3 linked regions of the Styela clava genome follow. The protein of the gene in region 1 purifies or fractionates together with the protein of each later gene. This does not show direct contact. Links are inferred from orthologs where the notes say so. Each region holds a gene or a part of one and is shown in the gene's direction. Other genes may lie near its edges.

Region 1 (7,302 bases):
ATGTTCATTTTCACACTAAACTGAAGGATTTATTTAGTTACCAGATGTGCGCTACGAAACTCATTTTCTGGGCGTTTTCAAGGCTTCGTCTCACGGCCCATATCCGTTGTAAGGATCTACAAGAGTTTAATAACTTACTTATACATTTTTCAATAACGTCTTAGCATAACTTAACTAATAATAACTAAACAGGGCTATGGAAAGGCTGCCCAACTCAACGCAAGCTCGAGCAGTAATAACTAATATTCATCCGCTCGCTAACAGCTGATTCGATTCAATTGTTACGTCATGCAGAAGTCATTGTTCATTGTCGAAAATGTAGAGAATATAGGACAGATCGTAGCACAGATTTTTTGTAGTAAAAGCGTCTTTTCCGTAAAACGTGCAACTTTTGGAAGTGGGAACAAGGCAATATTTGTTACTACATTTTTAAGGAACATTTTTAAATCATTTTCAGGTAGTTACCTGATGTGCGCTACGAAACTCACTTTCTAGGCGTTTTTCATGGCCTCGGCTCGCGGCCTACTATACCAGGGGTGTCAAACTCGTGCGTTTTCAAGGGCCGCATTGCATTTTGGGAATTGTGCAAAGGGCCGCAAACAGCTTTTGATATATTTTGATAATGTATACTTAAAAGCATATTTTCAGATATGTGTAGTGTGTGACATATATTGTGATGCAATTAAATAGCCGAATGAAGTTGTTATTTTCTGAAATTTTAAATGGCATTTACATAATAATTTCTTGGTATTTCACTTATTATTGCAAATTTATTTATTCCAAAAAACAATTTTTTTTTACAACTATCCAAAACATTTTTGAACAAAGATTTGATAAAAGAATAATACATAATAAAAATGACTTAATCTAAATATATACCCCTAAAAGACTAACGAATAAACTCCCATGTTTTTTTTTTTTATTATATATGTCCTGACGTTTGGCATCTTTTGTGCCACCAGCTTACTAATATCGGGCTGAATTGATTTCACAGTATCAACTCTAATTAACGAGCAGGGGCGTAGCCAGGAATTTTCAAAGAGGGGGGGGGGGGGAGCTCTGAAATTTAGGTGTGTACGAAATGTCGCACAACCTGAAGATAGTATGTGTGCCAGGTTAGGGTTCAGGTTGTGCGTCATCTTGGTACGAATACTTTCGGGGCGCCGAGTTGACAGCAAAAGGTGGTCTGGCAAGAGCAACAGGCCGGAGGCCTCAAAACGCAAGGTTTCTAAGAGAACTGAATGTTTCCCCGAGCATCAACTTCCTTGTTTACTTCGGGACATTGGCCAATCAGCAAAATGCAAAGAGTGACGTGTTTCGCATCCGCTCAGACTGATTTTCAGGCGTCGCCGTAAACATTACCACGTTTACGCGTTTTGAAATCTATTCGTTAATTTTTAGTTCTGTTTCGAATATTTAAATGTAAATCAAATAATTCAATGATCACTTTGTCTTCTTAGAAGTTTCAGTTTAACTGCAGTAATAAAAAATTAGTGTAGAAAATAGCTGCAATAGACTAGGCTAAAATTCTTCACCGGTACTTTTACAAAACAGATTGTGGAATGCTATGAATCAGAATAATGGTCTGAAGCAAAATACCCCATTTTACAGGCGCCAACTCGCAAAACCACTCTTTGAATAAGCACCAAAAATTTTGCGATGGTTAAGTATAGGAAAAAATTGATGGGGGTCAAAGGTCGGGGAAAGGTCCATAAATCGCCTTATTCAGTCACAATCACATCGCTTCTACTTGCCACGGCATCCGGAGCCATAAAGTTTCATGCGCTTATTCGGCGCGTGGCAAGTCGCGCCTATTAGTCGTCGTTTTTACACATTCCAAAAGGGGGGGGGGGGGTCGACCATTGGCATCACGTGGCATATGACCGCTTGGATTATGATTTATATATATTGATTTTTAGTAACTAGGTAGTACGATAATTATAATATAAACACATAAAAATAAATGTGCCAAATTAAACAATGTGCTTTAGAATTTTGAGAAATACAGAAATATTGCAACCCCCTTTTTTTCGAAAATGCCAATTTCTTTGTGTACATTGCGTTTCATTTAGTTCCTGAAGTGTTGTTTTTTTCAATTCTTTTTTGCTAGCTTGAAGTGTATCCATAATTGGGTCAAATTGAAAATAAAAAAATCAATTTTTCAAAACTAGTTTTTGTAAATTGTCCTTTTTGTGTGTGAATAATCAATTAGATAAAAAATACTTACAAAATAATTACAATTATTGTTAAGCGTTCGAGGGCCGCATTGGAAGTTCTCTGGGGCCGCATGTTTGACACCCCTGCCCTATACTGTAATGGTAAATACGGCTGTAATGTATTTATATGGGATCATCTCAGATCGATGGAATACAAACAGAAAGTACTACATAGTACCCATAATAAGAGTACGTTTACCACCCCCAGCCAAACTCATTGATCCAGCACATTATAAGGTCAGATATCCGCATTTAGAGATGAAGCCTAATCAAAATATCACAAACAAAATGACAACATATGTTTTGATCAAATCCTCAGCCAGTAGAGCGCTAGAACTTTATTTCAATATTCAAACATACTTTGACCAGATACATTGCCGATAAAATGTTTAGGGTAATCGTTCTGGCTTTCGTAATTTTGAAAGTAAACCGTTTCGTCTGAATAATTCGATCACAAATAATTTTATGCGCAAAAAATTATATTGTGTTGGACAAGAAATTGAAGAGTTGGTGCTTGAATAACAAACCTTAAAAACTTTAATCAGGTATTTTAAATGTTTTCTCGCGTTATTGCTTGCTTTTGGAGTTATTCCTCGGAGGGGATGTTTTCTGGTGGGAACTTTGTACAAAGGGTTCCCATCGTTTTATATAAATTGTTATTAATAGTTTCCAATATAAAAAAGTGGTGTTGACAAGCGACGTCCTATTTTCTATACTAGGATGCATTACAAGTTACATTGCATTATATTGTCACATCTATAATATGGTAAATAATGGAGGATACGTACGCTAATCACCTAAGTAGATTGGATAGTACGTTAAATTTAGATACATTTTGAGAAACTCGAGGCTATAATAAAATGCCACGGCACCAGAACATGCAATGAAATCCAAATCCAAAAAACGATGAAAATCAGAGAGATTATGCTTTCGGATCATTACGAATCACATCAGCACGACAACACTGAAAGTCGAATTGAGTGACACCAGGCTAATCATATCGGCCGCGGGAAATTCTCGTTTCTTTGACAAACGTGAACCACCCTGCGACGACGAGGAGTCTGGGACGTCTCTCGCACATAATTATCTTCACAGGATGCGCACCTGCTGACCCACACGGGGAAATCAGCGGTGCGATGCCAAATGTGATTCTAACGGTTAAACGGTTTACGATTCCGGCGCTACAAATTACTATTTAATCAGCTTGTTGCGTAGTTTTTAGGAAAGACAGCAGTATTATCTTACGACGTGCTAAGGTCTGTTTGATTTGGAGCCTCGTTACTCGCACACTACCCAGTCCGGTTATCACTTTATCACAGCTTGAAGCAAATTATCCGTGAAGAACGTTAGGTTGTTTCCGTTTTCAGTGTATATAAGACAAGTAATTATAATATTGATTCAAATCCAAAGACTGCGCTTCCCAGTTCTACGAATGACATTGGAATTTATTCTATCCGGAATTGACTCCGCGCAATACCATGAGTCACGATGGGCTAAAAAGATTTATTTTGCGAGTGGCTGTTTTCTGAAAGTTTTGAGATTTTAATTTTCATATCTCAATATAAGACGATATTACCGGTAGTGTATAGCTCCTCAGTAGTACGGGAAACCAAGAAAAATAGATAAGAATTCTCATTGATTCGTGCAAGTGCAGTGGTGACAGAGTTGGAGTTTTGGAATCGAGATAGGCTGCCGATACGTTCGTAACCGGTACCGAAAGAACATAGTTTGGTCAGTTTTTCTCAGTTCGGAAGGCTGCTGTAGTGACTACCCCTATAATTCAATAACCCTTACTCTGCCTTTACACTACCGGCTGGCCGGCACCATTTGTAAATTTTGCTACAGGCAGATAGACCACTGGCCTATAGAAACTAACAGTACTAGCGTTTTTCATGTTTTTATGTATAAGCCTTTTACTTAGGCCTACTAAAACTATTTACTGCAGTACTGTAAAAATTGCTGAATTTGATAGCAGAAGGGCTTTTTTCACATTTCCACACTCTTGTATTACAGGTATTTAACTACTAAAATATCAAAATAAAATAATGGATCAAGATTTACAAATCAAGGATAAGCAACTGAGGAAAGAAATTTCTGATTTTAAACTTGGAATCGCTAAAGATGCTGAAATTTTAGTCAATGAATTTTTTCCAAAGAAATGTATTGAACTAGATAAATTTTTAAAAGAAGATGTTTTACAGACTGAAAACGTCAGAAACATTGCACAAAAACTTGAAATTCCCATTCCAAATGCAGTTATTGTGCAAGACTTTAATAACGTTGATGGTCATGTTACGAGCCCCAAAAAACGTAAACTTGATGTAGGACCGGGAGGTGACATTGATGGTACCAAAGTATTTTCATTTGCTTGTGGTCCAGTGCCCTGCAATAAAAATCTAATAGCAATAATCGATCGAATAAAACCCGATATTCGTCTACTGATGGAAAAAGTTAATACTGTTCGAATGTGGGTGACTCATCTTATTCCAAAAATTGAAGACGGAAATAATTTTGGAGTCTCAATTCAAGAAGATACTCTTGCAGAGTTGAGACAAGTTGAAAGCGAAGCGGCTTCATTTCTAGATCAAATATCACGATATTTTGTCACAAGAGGTAAAATTATCACCAAAGTAGCAAAATATCCTCATGTTGAGGACTATCGTCGCTTTGTTGAGGAGATCGATGAGAAAGAATTTCTTAGCTTGAGACTTATAGTGTGTGAGCTGAGAAATCATTATTCCATTCTTCATGACTTGATTCTAAAGAATATCGAAAAAATCAAGAAACCGAGAAGTTCAAACATTGATGGAATGTATTAAAGTCTAAAACTTTGGCGAGAGAGTATGATATGATCCAAAAAACTATAGAAAGCCAGGATATTATTGGACTCAAGATGGCTGGTGCAAGAATTAGTTCATCCTCTGTATTTGGCGAGGCATTTTATTGAAAACATTTTTATTACGAATAAAAGTTCACCATGAAATTTTTTTAGCTTGGTAAAAAATTCATTCATCTGTTTTTATGCTTATGTGTTTTGAGCCTGTCTAATATTGTCACAATTGCTGTTTCGCATTAATTTACTATTTTATTATTTCATTCAGTCTGCCATTCTTTGTGTTTTATCTGGCTTTTATTGTGAGGGTATTTGAATAAATTATTTGACAAACTATGGAATCAGAATGATAATACGCAGGTGATGGATATACAATGATAAAAAATATTGTCCAAATTCCAGTTGCTAAATTTAGGTGTATTGTTGAATTTAGGAGGTTTTGATTGTATCTTATTTTATTATCTGGTTCAATTATTGTTAGCTCTGAGTGTTTAAATCTCGTTTTTAAGTTGTCAATTGTCTAGGATGCCCATTAAAATATATTCTAATCCGTATTTATTCATAAAGCACAACTGTTGGTAATAAATGCCTTCCCTCCCCACATGCAAAGACTTTGAAAGTGTTAAGATACTATTTTCCAATAGTTGATTGTTGTAACATTAATAAGTGAAGTATCACTTAGAAGAAGATTCCTCATACTATTTAAGACTCTGACCCCTATTAGTCAATCATTTACTGATTACCAGTTATACAAAATAAAATTTGATTTCCAAATTGTCCAAATACATAAAACCTGTATTTGTTGCAAGCCAAACCCAGTTGGATTACGACGTTATGACCATATCAAAATAAGACTCCCTGTACTATTGAGGACTCCAACCATATTAGTCAATCATTTACTAATTACTAGGTATACAATTTGATTGTTTATTATTAAATAAAATTCCAAATTTCCCAAATACATAAATTCTGTATTTGTTTTAAGCCAAACCCAGATAGCTTATGTCGCTAAGACCATATTGTCAATATTAATATTACTATACCCATTCCGATTTATAACCTTGATGGTTTTCCAATAAAGGAATCTCGTTGTTAAACTGCCTGAATCAAGGTACTACATATTCCTGATTTCAGTATATTTATACCTGTTACATCTTGTCCTCTTCGATTTTGTAAGACATGTCTGAAAAATTGGGATCTTTTGTAGAAAGCCTCTGACAAAAAAACATCCCAGCGCTCAAAATAATAAAAAATTGGTGATTATCCAATTACAATTAAAGAATGATAGAATTCATCTGTGAATTCAGAGATGTCAGGGTTAGCGAACCTACAATTACCTAAAACAGGGCAGGTGAGGGTGTTGTTTTCAAGGTGGCGAGAGCTTTCTATAAAAGGTTCAAAATTAAATTGGTAATATGGTGGGGATGGAAAAAAAGACCTATCTTTTCAAGCACCATTTTCACCAGGTCTGCACGGTCCGATCAAGTATGCAATTTTGGATTCAGGATTTATGATAAAATTTAACTCCCGCTCATGACTCCGTAGTAGAATCAAATACAAAAACATTAGTAATTGTCGTATTTACTGTTTTGTATGTATATAATTATAATGGGTTAGCATTGTATTCTGTGGTGTCTGAAACAGTCATTTTTTTCTTGTTATTTGTTCTTAGACGATTGTTTTGTAGTAGCTCCCAACCAGTGAAAAAAACATTGCTGAACAGCATACTATTTATCCAAACTGATTTACCACTGTATGTGGTTTGTACTTTATTCCATATTTGTTTAAATAAATACTGTAGAATTTCACAGCGATTATGACGCAATAATTTTACATTAATGCTGGTTGCAATTTTAGAATTGGTGATAATTTTGACGGCTTGGCGCATGTGATTTTATTATTGCGATTGTCAAGTTATGTAATGGAAGTGAACATCCTCATTAATTGAGTTCATCGTAAGTCATTATGGCACTGTTTTAAGTGAATATTCCTGTAAAAAACCTGCCATCTAATCGCGGACATGGTGGCCATTTCCGTCTGTATTTTCTTCTTTCAATGTAATGAATCAGTGATATTAATTCTTTGTACAGCCTGGTAGTTAATTAGATTTCCTGAAAGGGGTCAAGGGTCATAATGGGACCACCACCAGTTGTGACAGGAGTCTCTCCAAAATTTGGAACGCCGCTAACGAAGATCACAATTCGTGGAGAAAATCTTGGAACTAGTAAAGCTGATCTGATTGGTGTGTTAATA
Region 2 (7,614 bases), on another chromosome or scaffold:
TCGTTTTGTAAATAGTGCAAATAGTTCTCTATAGACTGAGAGTTAAAAAAAAAGAACCTGTGGCAATTTATGTATTTATTCATGTGTTGTATTGGGTGGTAACTGACTCAGATGACCGTAACTGGTCGTATCGTTACCTCCCAGTCATACCGAAAACTTTTGTTTCACTTATTTTATTATTATTATATTTATTATTATTATTTTTTTTTATGGTTGACGAAATAATAAATTCTCTCTCTCCCTCTGACTTCCTTGTTTACTTCGTGACATTGGCCAATCAGCAAGATGCAAAAAGTGGCGTAACAATACTCCCTTTTCGCATCCGCTCAGACACTTTTCTCACTCAGACAGATTTTCAAGCGTGGTCGTAAACATTACCTCGTTTTCGCGTTTTTGAACTCTATTCGTTAGTTTTCTGTTGTGTTTCGGAAACTTAAATATAAATCAGATAATTCAATGATCACTCTGTCTTCTCAGGAGTTTTAATTCAATTGCAGTAATAAGAAATTAGTGTAGAAATAGCTGTAATAGACTAGGCTAAAAAAATTCACCGGTACTTTTAAAAAACAGATTGTTGTATGCGATGAATCATAATGATGGTTTGGAACACATACCCCATTTTACAGGCGCCAACTGGCGGAAGCACTCTAAAATCAGCCCCGAAAACTTTGTATTGCAGAATTTTAGGGGGGGTGAAAGGTCCATTGTGATTGCTTTTCGAACTTTTCTGGGTCAAAGGTTGATGAAATTTTCGGCGCAGTGTTTCGAATTCAGGGAGAATCCCTTCTACTGTCAGCGGCCAGGCACGCGTTTACTCCCAAGGACAAGGTTAGGTCGAGCGCACGGTACGGTACCGGTACATTACCGGTACCTATCGTGTATTACCCGGTAGGCCTACCTGTACTGTCATACCACAGTAACAGCATAGGGATGGACGCGCAAGACAGACGGATAAACACGATTTTCTTTATACCCTACCGGTAGTACGGTAACCGCCTGGCGGTATGGTACCGGTACCGGTACTGCACCAGTACAACTGCAAGGAGACCTACGATACCGGTCTTAAAATTCTATTGGCGGTCAGCCGATAGGTACCGGTACCGGTACCGGTACCGCAGGATTTCACAGTCTGACATGCGGCTTCGTACAAGACAATCACGGAATCCAGGAATCAGTGGTGGGATGTAACGTAGGTACATTAACTGTAAGTGTGCCGGTACAGCGGTACCAGTACATCAGTACTGGCAGTAAGTTATCCTTGTATCGACATTACAAATTTTAGAATTCAGTGATTTCAGATATCTTGGTACCGTACAATGCAGAATGCACTAGAGCAAAGCATTAGGTACTCTTACTAATCCTGTAATCTAAGTATTTATTTCATTATTTAACTTATTGCCATACCGGTACCGGTACTTGTATACGGTAATTGCTCATTTTTATATTCTGATAACAGAATAAAAAATATTTAGAACTGATCCTTACGGTACTGCTTTAAGACGAAGAATTCATAATGTCTGAAAACAAAGTTTTGGCAATCGAATTAGAGACTTGGGCTAAGGAACAAATGGGTTTCTCATCGATTGTGAGATCGGACAAGAGGGAGATTCAAACCGATTTGATTCCTGTCTGTAAAGGAACAGCAATGATGAGTCTTTGGAAGGATGTAATAAATGTGATAAAGTCTAAAAAATCTGCGGGTGACATTCGTAAAAACCTAATTTTAGAAAATCTTATGGCCGAAGCATTACGATCATATACAACAGTTGAAGAAAACTTGAGGGAATCTACAGCATTAGATAAAGAAATTGAATCGCTGGAACTTCAACTTCAAAGCTACAAAGAAGATTTGCAGGTGAAAATACAATGCAGACTATATTTGCAGGATATACAATTTCTAAAATACAAAAATTGAAATTGATAACTGTTTATAATGCACAGTGTGACTGTGCCTCTATAAATTCCTCTAAAAGTTGTACCGACTATTTTTTCCTTTCCAACTTTTTAGAATACCGTTTATGGATATTGACTCTGTTCTAATAGATTTCCTTTTTTCATTTTTGTTCTCTAACTCTTACTTTCTTGTAGTCATCTATTGTGATAACTTAAAAAATATCCTATGTGAGCTTATAACAACAGTATACATATTATGTGATAAGTAGGCCTATATTAAATTTGCTGATTGATTTTTTTTACATTTTCACAGGATATTGATTTGAAAGTAAAAGCAGTCAAAGATGATGTGAAGTCAAATCAGATGAAAGCTTGTTTACATCGTAATTCCAGCGGATATCTGAGGCACAAAAACTTTATGCTAAAATCTTATCAAAAATGGATTAGTGAACTTTGCGCTACTTATTTTAAGCACAATGAGGACACAGAGCCTCGATCTTGCAGTCTAGCATTGAACAAACTTTTCTCACAATTAGAAAATGACCTAAAATCAAAAGAGTTGAATTCAACTAAAAATCATGATAAAATTGATAACCAATGGTGTTTCATTCGTGAATTGATGCAAAAATTTGCTTCAGATGTGATTGCCTGTAATTTTCAGCAACTCGTAGATTCATCAACAGCCGTAATTGTTGAAGAAGAAAAAGCTATACATTTGCAGGAAGAATTGGATGGTTTAAGAGCTAAATATGGAATTGAAGACACAACTGAAAAACAAAATGCTCTAGCTACAGTTCAGAATATGCTTCAAAATTGGGAACTCGAATGCGTACAAGTTCTCACGCAGTGTTTGAATAGTGAAAGGAATGCAGAGAATATGTTGTTGCAAGCTGAAACTGAAAGAAATTACATTATTCAAAGCTTTCAAGCAGAATACAATCTTTCACCAACAATTCTACAACTATTAATTGATGACCTTGATACCAAGGTCGAGTTTGCTAGTGTTCAAGGTTGCCTTCGATCATTTCAAGCTTCTTTTGCTAGATTGCATCGTGATATTAAAATGAAAACAGATGAACATAACCAACTAATGAAGTTGAAGAATGAAATTGATGGCTTTTCTGAAAGCCTTGCTGTTCATCAAACAAATATTATTGAAATTATAAAACATAATTCAACAGTCAAGTCAAAGATACAAGAACGCCAGTCTGAAGTGATCAATGCAGCGAAAACTTGTATTATTGCGAAACGACAATGGCTTAATCAGAGTTGCACTGATTTACTATCAGTTATGCATACTTGTTGCTCCTTTTTGGGACATGCAGATGTGAATAAAATTCGGAGGATAATGTTAGATAATGCGGGTTTGACGCCACTCTGTCATTTGGGAATATATACCTCCAATAGCTTATCTTATCGAAAGTGTGGGCATTCACTGCGATTTTCCGGCCACAGAGCTCCAAGTTCATTATTGCAAAGGATTTCAGATATTAAACATGAAATTGCTCGAGCCGAGAATCTTCAGCAGGAAAATTCTGACTTTTCTTCAAACATGACTGAAAAATGTTGCCATGTGACTAATCTAGCTAAGAGAGTAGAAGGGATTTCAGAAGAAACCACTGAGTCGATTTGTAGGAAATATAAAACTGGCATGGGTGTAACTAAAGATGCATTAACTAAGACTCAAACATTAGAATCAATGATTAAATCATGGTATGAGCAGCCTGCCCAATACCAGACACCTTGGGTAACTGCTAATGGTATGACATGGGAAGAATATAGAAACAAGCTTGAAAAGCTATAAAATACAATTCTTATTTTTATGTTTTTTGATAAGCGCATGAATCTTTGAATGGTTTTCAAACAGAAAATCAGTATTTGTGTCAACCTTTAAATAATGACACATTTCATAATTTTGCTTGACTTAAAACTGAAGTACGGTAGTCAAAAATGTGGTGTGTGCTCAAAATTATTCTTTCGTATTGAACCCTGAAATTGATAGAGCTTGGTTGCATACCAAGTGTATCTATGGATTGCTGCTAAATAGTTTTTGTTGGTTTCCTCTTTGCAAATAATTGATGAATACATTTTAATCTTTTTAGTGCTTGAAGATGGATGGAGGTTATTGGGACCTCCGGAAGTATGCACACCAAGATGGCGCACAACCTGAACTCAGGTTGTGTACCAGGTCAGGGTTCAGGCTGTGTGACATCTTGGTGCGCATACTTCAGGAGTGCCGGTTATTGCTTGTATTTTTACAAATTTAGTACTTTGAGGCCTGATGATTCACCCAAAATAATTTTTCTGATTTTTTTCAATTCGAATGCAAACCTCCACACATCGTTTGTTATGATAATTCTATTACTATTCCATATGACATTCAGCACAATTCTTTTGACATTTTGCTGACATTGCGGTAACTGTAATACATAAACTGAGAGTTCCTTAAGTACTATACTTCCCACATCGCTATAGTTCCGAGACCACCTGAGTGGCAGTATCAAAATGTAATGAAGAATTGTTGGCCAGCATTATAAAATGTATTTTGGCCACATAAGCTATCATTATATTTTTCACATAGAAAAGGGACAACCCGTTTTTTAAATAAGTATAAAAACTTGCAAACAAATGTTCATTTAATATGCCGAATTGTAAATGTATCATATCTATATTTTTGTTTGTTATTTTCCACTAGGTACTAGACTATAAACACTGAAAATACTATACAAAATGAGGTATAGGGCGGCAATATTGGACAAAAGATTAATGGTGAGTCTCCTATAAGACTTGAAAAAGTTTTTTCACTTTCTAGAGCTAAGTTTTGCTTACTCAACAGCAAATGTAAAGTTTCAAATTTCATATTTTTATCTCAGGAAAGTGTGGCAAGTCAGTTTGGTATACCAGTGAATAAAATATTCAATGATCCGCGAATACCAATGCCACCAGAAAAAGCAGTAGAAGATATAAAGAATGAAAAGCTTCTGTTTCAAGTTCTTAAACAGGTTGATTTAATTTCTTATAGCTGCTGAATCATACAGAATAATTGGACCTGCAATAACTTGACAATTTGAAAATTATTCTTTATTATCATTTGTAGCTTCCAAACTGGGGAGTTGGACGGTTATTCATTTTCAAGCAAGACATGACTGGTTTTTATGATGATCCGACTTACTGGAGAATAACCAGAGTTCTTGTTGATCAAGATGATCATGTAAGTGAAATTTATTGATTTGCCAATTTTTGTTGGTTGTAGAATTTTTTTTTATCAGGAGCCGGTAATTACCTGTATCATAACAACTTGATTCGGCATGTTTATTCATTAACTTAAATATGGATGAGAGTAGGACAGGTAAAAATAAATCGATATTCAATAAATGTATCTGGCAAGTAGTAGATGGTAAATGGGGCTGGGAATTCCAGGGAAAACACTTTAACTGTTTACTGGGTAAAATTAACTGGTTAACCGCAGCGTGACGTTTGACATAATAATTTATAATTTTGGCTTGTTACGTCACAATGATTACAAAGCAATTTTGGGTGATCTTATCCTGCTATCGCTCAATTCACGAATCGAGATAGTATCGTGATTGCTCTGCTACAAGAGAGATGCAGCGTGATTCGGACATATGAAAGTGTTTTAATAAAATCTGGATCTGTTATTGTATGTCATTTATGTTACAAATTTTCAGTGTTCGACGTGCATATTCTACTTGAGAAAAATAAAGAAAAACAGCATCAACTGCACACTTGTTGGATGACATTGAATATACGATTTTGTAATACAATTGTGAACAAAATATTTTTACCGAAAACTGACTTTATCATTGTCAAATTTTTATTCAATTATTGTTCACATTTATTGGGTCCTTACCAATACAGTTAGTGTTATTCTTTAGAATTAAATGCCACAGGAGATAAATTTAAGAAATTTTCCTATGCTGCAGTGAAATATTATCGTCCAGTAGCCATTGAAAATGTTTTTGTATCAACAGGATCTGAATTTTGGCATAGCATGGGGGATATTCACATGGAAAGGTTGGTGTGAAGAATATGAAAAACAAATTCCGAGAGTGAGTAAGGTTTTGTTATTAATGAGGTTGATGTCCCGAATGCTCACCAAACATTTAAGAAATAGTATTATGGAGTTGTCCACTAATTACATGTTATATGGTATTTATCTTCTGTCTAATTTTTCCAATATTCTAACTAAGGTATTATGAATGTCTAATGTGTTTCTGCTGATTTCATTATTCTTCTAATAAATGTGTTTTTCTGATTGTGCTTTCTCCATAAATTCACACACATCCTGATTCATTTCAATGAGGAGAAATTTTAGTAGTCGTTATTATATCAGCAAAGATTCTTTTAAGTAATTTCATTTTTTAATGCTAACGCTACTGTTGCATTTGTTGTAAAGATACACATATATACAGCTCCTCATTCTCAGCTTTCAACTATTTGACTGCAGGACCACACAGACGCACTGTGTGACTTTTTTTCAGCACATCATCCACAGGGTATTTTTCTTTTATTTTTAGATAAATAGGCATGGTTGGAGACTCATTCCTAAGTTGGATGAACCCCACTTCACGAATTTTGTACCAAAATCAAAAGAAACTAAAGAAGTTCCTCTGTACTTCAGGACTCCACCTTTACTCACAGAAATGCTCAAAGCTGAAAAGTTACAAGAGGTAAGATGTAATATATATTTATTGTTGTGAAAGTGAGATGTGTGATCTTGGTGAAAATTTGTTTCAAGCATATAGGATAATTAGTAATGGTTTGAGTTTATTACTAGAAATGATTTAATATATATCCTAATATCAATCAGCCTCTTGTGATACCGTATCAATTTCGGAAATATATATAGTCGGACCACATAATCTGATTTTAGATTTTAATATTTTTATTATAAATTTTCTCATTTTGAATACTTGTTGGATAGTGGTTAATTTGAGTGGGACTTGCCTGACTCTGTAATGTACTTGGTCGTAATATTTCTAAACATTGCATTTATTAACAGAAATCACCAGATGCAAACCTGCAACCCATGATAAAACTTCTATTGGACAGAAATAGAGAATGTATTGAAAGGCAAAGATTGGATGATGGAAGTTTGGTTTGATCATTCGATACATCTATCTGGTTGTTTGTTATTGGAGAACGTGAATGCATTAGCTGATAAAGATTCTGACTTCTGGTCTAGAACCAAAAAACTGTGTGGAGTGCTGATGTCTAATCTCCCTTTGCTCCGTCCGCGAAAAGGACTTTGAGCATCCATATGATTGTTTGTTCCAAAAAAATTTTCCAAAGTAAATGTTCCAAGTTTCAAATGCATTTTCAGTTTGGACAAACACAAATCATGTTTTATGTTTATGCCCGCCTTTGTATTTCAAATTGGAAATGTTGATTGTTATGTTCAATGTATAATTTGAAGTTTTAACTGATGTTTAGCTGATGATCTATTTTCAAATCATCCTCCTGATCAAAGATACTTTGACCAGTAGTGTTGTTCTAATGATATTCAGAATTCCTAATAGTTGAATACAATTTTGGGTACTCTGAAGTATGCACTCCAAGATGTCGCACAACCTGAATCCTAACCTGGTACGCAACTTAAGTTCAGGTTCATACTTGAGGAGGTCCCAACTTTGTCCATCTGTTAGTGCATGGTGCTAAGCGTTATGAATACATTAGCAGTCGCACCTATGATTACTATAC
Region 3 (8,073 bases), about 17 Mb from region 1:
AGAGTAGATAGAACAATGCAATTCTCCACTGACAGTCTTAACTTTTATTACCGCAATTTTAGCACATTGGGTTTTCTTCGACACGTAGGTAAAAAATACCTTTTGGACATTCAAAGAACTGCAGTGATTGGACGAAAAGCACCGAATTCAACAATTTACGATCATGAAACTTTAGAAAAAAAGAAGTGAGTCTTTAAAAATAGATGTATTTCTCCTATTTGAAATGGAATTTCCTATATATATATAAACTAAAGTTGTAAAATATTAGAGTACTAGGATCAATTTTATCAAGATTCAAAATCCAATCATTTTTTTTTTTTGGATGAAACTATATTATGTGTTCATAGTACAAGCAAAAAGGTTAAGTCCTTCCGTTGGCACCAGGACATGTTTTAGAAAACATTGGTTTACTAATTCCATATAGTATATCAATACTTATAACTACAATTTTTGTTACCTATTTCAATGAGATCATTCTCTCCTTTCCAGGATACTAGACTACAGTAACATTGGGCGCCCACTGGTCCTCATTTTTGGATCATGTACTTGACCTCCGTTTATCAGCGGGATTGAACGTCTCCCTGCTCTTATAGAGGAATATCGTTCGAAAGTTGATTTTTTAGTAATATACGTTCAAGAAGCCCATGCCACTGATAGTAATTGGCATATGAAAAGCATGAAGTAAGTACGCTCCGGACGTCGATAAAGATATAATTACATTTTCAAACTGCTTTCAGGTAGAATCAAGGAAAACGATTCTTTTACATGTATTTTGATAGTTTTGTCAAGTGCAGGGTTTACGGTGAAATGCAGAGCTTGTACACAAAATGGTTGCTCTGCAAACAGTACGGTCTACAATTTGCTGATATGTTGTTTTCAATAATTATGAATTCGTTATTTTAATACACATTGCTCTCGGTTGCGACACCCGGGGCAGTAATAGACATACAAATTTGTTTTATTTTCTATTTGTTAATTAACATTGTATACATTCACAGATACCACATTTCCCTTCATAAAAGTCTCCAGAATCGTCAGTCTGCCGCAGAAAATCTTAAAGACTACTTTTCGTGCCCTTTGGTGTTGGATGGAATAGAAAATGAGGCAACGAAGCAATATGGTACGATTCCGGATCGTATGGCAATTATCTACAACGGTTGCTTAGAATATATCAGTGCGAAAGGACCTCTGGGATTTAAAGTGGATGAAATGCAAAAAGCTCTGAATAACATATTGCAACAATCTGAGTAGACATTAACGTGGTGTGATATCGTTCAAAACACTTATTATAGATTGATTGTGCGTCGATATGATAATGATCCCGAACCCTTTCTGACGACAAACCGACTCTGTTACGATGTTGAACTTTGACCCGTCTTAGTTTTTTAAAGAAATGAATCAAAGAAAATAGGGGTAGCCTAATAGTAATTTCCTTCTATATATACTACCAAAGCATCTTTCTCCCAGAATCATGATATAAACTTTCCAAATTTTCACGCTTAAAACTGATGACACCTATACGTTAAAATGCAGCAAGTTACAGTTATGTGCGAAATGTAAAACTAAAATTTTTTGCCCGTCGATTCCTTGGCATTAAAATTCATAGAGTTCGATCGAAACTAATGTTAGACCAACTGATCTACGTTATGTTATAGGTTAATAGAAGAAACAAAATATTTAAATACTTATTTTATTTTGTGTTTATCGGTTGGCGTAATTTATATCACTTCATATATATGGTCTATGTGTTTATTTTTGTACATAATTTATTAATAAAAATTATTCTATATATATAAAAAAATAAATAAAAAATACTGGCTAAACAGTAAATCTGCATTATCTCGAAATTAGGAGAATATCATATTAATTAAAACTTTTTAGTGGAAATGATACGAGAGAACCAAAAATTATGATTTTCATTAGTTTTTACCGAAATTGAGAACAATCCTTTTTTGACGACAGTCTGAACGGTCAAAAACCTTAATCTGTTCTATGTCATATTCTAAATTATTCTTCCTAAATAATTCTACAACTTCTTATTTATTTTTTCATTATAGAGTAAAGTGTTAATTACAAGAAATGGTATGTATAATAACAATAAATATGTTCAGAATTTATGACGGTACAGAAGAAAATTGCTGAGAGCAGATTTCTGTACCAGAGAGTTTTTCTGAACACGTTTGCTGTTGCTATACCAAGATCATTCCTACTACGCAATTGAAATATTTGTAATTTTAGTGAATTAAACTTATTCATTGCATCAATTTATTCAAATTAGTTGATTGGTGGAGGAAAACCACAGTATCGCCTGAAATTTCGTCATAACGTACCGTTGTTTTTAACAACTGATGGTGAGATGATCGCATGCTTGGTGAAATTTGCGAACGGCTTGCAAAAGCAATTTGGAACGTATTTTCAGGGCTAGTTGGCATAAAATTACGGCAATTAAGGCTACTTAGTGCAGTGGTTCTCAAACGTTTTAAGACGCGCTCTTTTTTGAGAATTTGTCAAGTCTCGCGCCCACCTCAAAAGTAACTAGCTAAAAATAAGCTGAAAATAACAGATAGTAAGACGAAAGTATGTTTTATTCAAAAACACGTTAAAATTACATGAATGGAACGTAAATATCCAGAATAAAGAAATGCGAATATTCAGAATAAGGCAGGCAAAATCAAATCTAACAAATGTTTTTATATTTAATTAGCTTCACGTCCCTCAAAAAATTGTCTATACCCTACTTGTGGGACGCGCACCATCGTTTAAGAACCACTGAGGGTCAGTGCGATTAATATGCTCAATATTTAGGAGCGCTTGGTTCAATTTTTCCACAGTAGCATCTTGTAGTATATATTTACGGTAGCATTTGTTTCTGCACCAAGGGAGAAGTGGTACTGGTCGAATAATCCTTCAAGATGGATGATTCCCCATCTTTGGCGCCAAACTGACAATTACTGGTTAAGAGTTTTATTAGTGATGGAATGACAGACTTTTGGGCGGTTTAAATTTCGTTATTGGCTCTATTTTCGCGATGGTGGATCGCAGTACTGGTTCTAAAACTTTCAAATTTGATCGATATCTTGATTTAACATAAGTTATTGTAAATTTTTTACAAGGATAAATAGAGAAAAAAGGAAGAAAAGTAACTATGGCTGGTTCCGACATTAATTGTTACCGGTACCGCAACCCACATCGAGCCCTTCCGCGACCCACTGGGGGATCGGGGCTCTCAGTTTGAAAGCCCCGTTTATTGCAATACATTTTTCTCCTATACACGTCCATACACATTGCTAATTTACCAAACACATACGACCTAATCACGCATCTGAGTTAGGTACGCTACCCTGCTCGGGGAAAATCATTTTGATTCCATGACGTCATGCTATGGTGGTGAAATGTTCGAATAAGGCGCGATGTGTGGCTTCCTGTACCAGTACCTCCACCAAAGCTTGTATTGTGGCCGGGTCATGCTTTCTGGTTGAGTTTTACATGGAAATTGTGCTATTCATCTTGTATTTAGAGTGGCCCTAGTAGAGTGAGGTACGCCTATTTTATGTAATGTGATAGAATACCGTACAATGCCTTGTGAACAGGTTTTAGCGTTTGCGAGTCACAAGGCAGCAAGACCAACTGGTGAATGCAGATGTTTTTGCTATCTCTGGATCTGGATGTGCCCTCCGTTTGCTGTTGTTTGTTCTACTGTTCTAGCCTATGTCAGAGGGACCAAAATAAAATTGATTGATTGATATCAAAATTGTTTAGACAAGAATTTGTAATGAATTAAATTGTATATTTTCATCCTTTCCAGACATTTAAAATACAGAAATGAGGCATTACCGGTATCGGATTGACTTGGTCATTATTAGCTTAAGCCTTGAGTGTTTTGAAAGTATAACATCCCAAAGTTTATTACAATCATGTATTTTGTTTGTTTATTTCTGCTCCAAGCCTGGTTTAACTAAGTTCTGAAGTTTGTGTTTTTGTCATTTTTTTGCGCAACTTCATTATACTGTATTATTACTGATATTGAGGGACAACAATGTCCAGACGTCTCCCAAAGTAGGGGTGTCTGATCATCGGTAAAATGGGTTTCTCTGAAACGGGACAATGTCACCCGATTTGTATAGTGTGCCCTACTGTATTTTGTTTTATTTGAAAGTTAAGCCTGTCTGCCTGTATGAGGCAATTGATTTAAAATTTCATGAATTTTCATCAAGATGGAAGAAGTCACTGGGAAGCGTTTTTGAAGGCATATCTGGATATAGAACCAAGTTTTTATCAAAAATTAAAGTTGAACATGTATTCTTTTGTAGCGCAAATGCCTCTATATTCCGGTATTTTGATATTGCTTGTTTGTCAATCTTTTAAGGCCAAATCTGCGCTTACCTTACTGCCGTATGGCACAGCTCTCCGATTCTAAGCACAGGAGCATAGCCTCACATTAATACACATCAATTATAACAGTGAATGCGAATCCCATTTTTATGAGACATCTATATATTTACGTGGTGTCTATATTGCCACAAATCAACTGTGCAATAAACTAAGAGGAAATGCAATCTAAAAACGTCACTATTCTGCTATTGGATTTGTCGAAAAACAAAATTATGATTACCAAAGGAAGAATATGTTACCATAGTCCATAGCATTCAAGAGTTTTTGGCAAAGGAACAATTTTGGTCAGATTGATTTAAAATATTATCGAGACAATCATGGAACGATCTGACGTGTCGTCGTGCCAGATGCCCTCGTATCAGAGTTAAATAGAGTGTTTTTTTTTATTGTTCCAAATGTGGGAGCATCTTGAAATCTGAGAACTGTGCCCTACTGTGTGTTGATGAGCAGCCTTTGTACCCGTTATGCAGTAGTTTCTATATATTTGAGAATAGCTCACCTAGGTATTACTAAAAGGTAGATGCATTTTCACCTACAAAAAAAATTGAAATCTTCGCTTATGGAGTTTCTGCTGCTGTGAGCTAAAAACTAAAGAATTTTGTTTCAGGATAATAGGATTTTGTAAATTTCAAGGGCTGGCATAGTTTTTTTTAGTTTATTTGCAACTCTGGAACTTCAATTTTAAGAATAAGCTTACAAACTCAGTAAAATGGCGACTCTTGTGGAAATCTTGGATAAGACTGTGTCACCGGGTAACTTTATTGCTATAAATATTATTTCTCTAATTAAGCTTGTATTTTGAATAATCGTTTTCATGAAATCATGGCTCGATGATTGGCGCAACATTCACTGTGTTAGGAACAAGCTTTCCATCGCATCTGTGATTAACTTGTGTGAATTCGAATGTTTGAATCTCATAGTTTTACGTGGGAGCCGGGAGAATTGCTGGACTCCTCACTTCCGTAGTGCTGTAGTGTAATTCACTTGACCACTGGTCAGTTACGGCTTTCCCACTATCGAGCTCATGCATCTGAAACAAATAACAGGTTATCTTTTTCCATATCTGACTTGTACAGGATGCGCCACATGATTAGTCGATATTACCACCTATCCTTCATTGCAGCAAATATGAAAATCGTATTCCTATCCTTTTTTGCAAATTTCTGAAATTTAATATTTACTGGTAATAGTAATAGTTTATATATATATACACCTGTGACAGAATTTAGAAAAAAAACCTGGGGAAATTTAGAATATAAAGGTTTTCATAAAGTATTGTATTCATATTCTTTTTCAGACCCAAATGATATTAAGCAGGCACAAGGATTTCTGGAACAAGCCGCACAAAGCAGTCTTGCGGAATTTCTGGTCAGCTTATGTCAAGTTTTGGCAAACCCTGGAAACAGCCAAGTTTCGAGAATGGCTGCTGGTCTGCAGGTGATTGTCAAATATTTTTTAGATTGCTGCGCACTAAAAAATCAAAAAACTGCGGCACACTTATCACATAATAAGTTTTCAAAATTGTACAATCCGCAGATGTTATTGATGAATGCACATTTTTCTGTTCATAAGCACACATTCATTTCGTCAATGTACCAAAATCTGCAAAGCCATGAATGTGAATTACAATTTACTTCTGATTGATGCTATATAACAGTCACACTAAACACTATTGCTACTCTGCTAATTCAAAAATATCCATGGCATCATAATGTTACATGTTACACAATTTGACATCCACTTTCATCGAGTGTATGTTTTAGATGAGTTGAATGCTCTCAACTTGAATCTGAAAAAAGTTTGATTAGATATTTGTTAATTTACATAAATTGTATCACCCTTCATTTATGTTTTCAAGATAAAAAATTATACAACTTCAAAAGACCAAACTGCCAGGCTCGATAATCAGAAACGTTGGCTGTCTCTAAATGAAGCAGCTCGATCAGAAGTTAAAAAACTGGTAAGTATGACCTTTACATTACCATAAGCATTTTCCAATGAGGTGATGGTTTTTATGTGAAATGTTTCAGGTGCTGAAAGCATAGTGTGAGATCTCTGTATGCAGTATGAAATAGAGTTCAATCAATTTATTGCTATTTCAGAATGTTTTTAAAAAAATAGAATAACATGGTTGTTGGGTCTCTTAATAAAAGGGGCCCAGGTCTTTTCCACTCATGATAAGTTGACACAATAAGGTCTTTTCCACTCATGATAAGTTGACACAATAAGGTCTTTTCCACTCATGATAAGTTGACACAATAAGGTCTTTTCCACTCATGATAAGTTGACACAATAAGGTCTTTTCCACTCATGATAAGTTGACACAATAAGGTCTTTTCCACTCATGATAAGTTGACACAATACTAATATTTATTGTAATATCTCAGGTTCTTCAAGCATTGGGCACAGAAACTAACAGACCTTCATCAGCGGCACAAGTAATTGCATCAATCGCATGTGCTGAAATACCTTTAGATGGATGGAAAGAGCTTATTCCTCAACTTGTGCAAAGTGTGACTGCAGAAACAAGCACTGAACATTTGAAGGAGGGAGCACTGGAGGCTATCGGATACATTTGTGCAGATATGGTAATGTGAATGAATATTTTCATGGCACTGTATACTGACATGCAATGCATGATGCCCAGTTGGCAAATTAGTAGTAAGCAACTGTATGGTTTAAGAACTTGTGACTCACAGAGAAAGCTATTGCATGTCATATTGGTGGTCCTGTTTCCTGGTGACTATTTATTACTACTGACAAATGTACTATTCTGTTGCTTGAAACAACATCATAGATCTGAATCATGGATATCTCGTTGCTGACACTATCTTGTCTATATTACATATGCTTATTGAAATATATATAAGGTTACAATCAAAATACTATGATTAGTCGTGCTGTGGTTAATAACAGGATGCTGAATTAGTGTTACAATTATTATTATGATCTGAACTTTCAGAATTTTTCCCTCAAATGTTTTCAGTCGATAAACATGGTTGGCTGTTAATAACTTTACAATCAGTGCACATACCAGACAAAAGAAAAGACATTTATGTGGAATTGAGTATTTTTATACCAATTTGTATATACTAACGTGTAATTTCATCTAATTGTAATCTAATTGTTCATCTTCATGTAATTTTTATATTTTTAGCAGCTCTTCGCTTTCTAGTGGTCAATTGTAACTTTGCTCAGCAATCAATCCTTTCAGTTCCTAAGTGAATGCATGTGACAACCGTGCTTTGAGCAAATTTCCTCAAAAAGAAAAAATCTTTTTTTCTTCAATCTGTATATCGTAATTAAAATTACAGTTTATTGTGGGTCATTTTTTCAACTACAGCTCCAAACTTTTAGGGAATGCAAATTTCAAAAAATAAACTGTGTTGTATGCAAGCTTCGCACAACGAATGTTTGGAACGCTTCGCACAACGAATGTTTGGAACGCTTCGCCAAATCAATTTTTTTGAGTTTCTATGTAAAAATTTTGATTTCCATCGCCACCAAGAAATGTCTCAAATTCTGACTAAATCAAAATCTGATAAAAACAAATCAAACTCGACTCCATGCCTCATATAGCTCTTTAGCTCTCGATGGAACACAAAATAATATTTGTCATCATTTTCTTCTGTGTCAGGATCCACAACACCTTCTTACTCATGCAAACGGCATCCTGACTGC

The links. Proteins that work in one complex are often made in the same cells at the same time.
Region 2: the proteins of proteasome activator complex subunit 3-like (region 1) and small ribosomal subunit protein mS34-like purify together in Homo sapiens (co-immunoprecipitation; 3 studies listed by BioGRID and IntAct, counting the BioPlex papers as one, with this or other methods). This does not show direct contact. The link is inferred for Styela clava from reciprocal best matches to the Homo sapiens genes PSME3 and MRPS34.
Region 3: the proteins of proteasome activator complex subunit 3-like (region 1) and importin subunit beta-1-like purify together in Homo sapiens (affinity purification with mass spectrometry; 3 studies listed by BioGRID and IntAct, with this or other methods). This does not show direct contact. The link is inferred for Styela clava from reciprocal best matches to the Homo sapiens genes PSME3 and KPNB1.

Annotation. Positions count from the first base shown.
Region 1 is NC_135250.1:5,803,968-5,811,269, reverse strand, and holds proteasome activator complex subunit 3-like, read left to right. Parts: upstream 1-4,210; 5' UTR 4,211-4,261; coding exon 4,262-5,035; 3' UTR 5,036-7,139; downstream 7,140-7,302. Other genes in the region: exocyst complex component 2-like, read left to right, coding at 7,183-7,302. UniProt on the Homo sapiens protein: Subunit of the 11S REG-gamma (also called PA28-gamma) proteasome regulator, a doughnut-shaped homoheptamer which associates with the proteasome. 11S REG-gamma activates the trypsin-like catalytic subunit of the proteasome but inhibits the chymotrypsin-like and postglutamyl-preferring (PGPH) subunits.
Region 2 is NC_135257.1:12,544,873-12,552,486, reverse strand, and holds the start of small ribosomal subunit protein mS34-like, read left to right. Parts: upstream 1-4,522; 5' UTR 4,523-4,623; coding exon 4,624-4,662; intron 4,663-4,766; coding exon 4,767-4,895; intron 4,896-4,990; coding exon 4,991-5,104; intron 5,105-5,885; coding exon 5,886-5,963; intron 5,964-6,431; coding exon 6,432-6,584; intron 6,585-6,916; coding exon 6,917-7,018; 3' UTR 7,019-7,614. Other genes in the region: uncharacterized protein LOC120345794, read left to right, coding at 1,514-1,855, 2,207-3,697. UniProt on the Homo sapiens protein: Required for mitochondrial translation, plays a role in maintaining the stability of the small ribosomal subunit and the 12S rRNA that are required for mitoribosome formation.
Region 3 is NC_135250.1:22,447,661-22,455,733, forward strand, and holds the start of importin subunit beta-1-like, read left to right. Parts: upstream 1-4,981; 5' UTR 4,982-5,101; coding exon 5,102-5,144; intron 5,145-5,689; coding exon 5,690-5,829; intron 5,830-6,250; coding exon 6,251-6,352; intron 6,353-6,779; coding exon 6,780-6,980; intron 6,981-8,029; coding exon 8,030-8,073.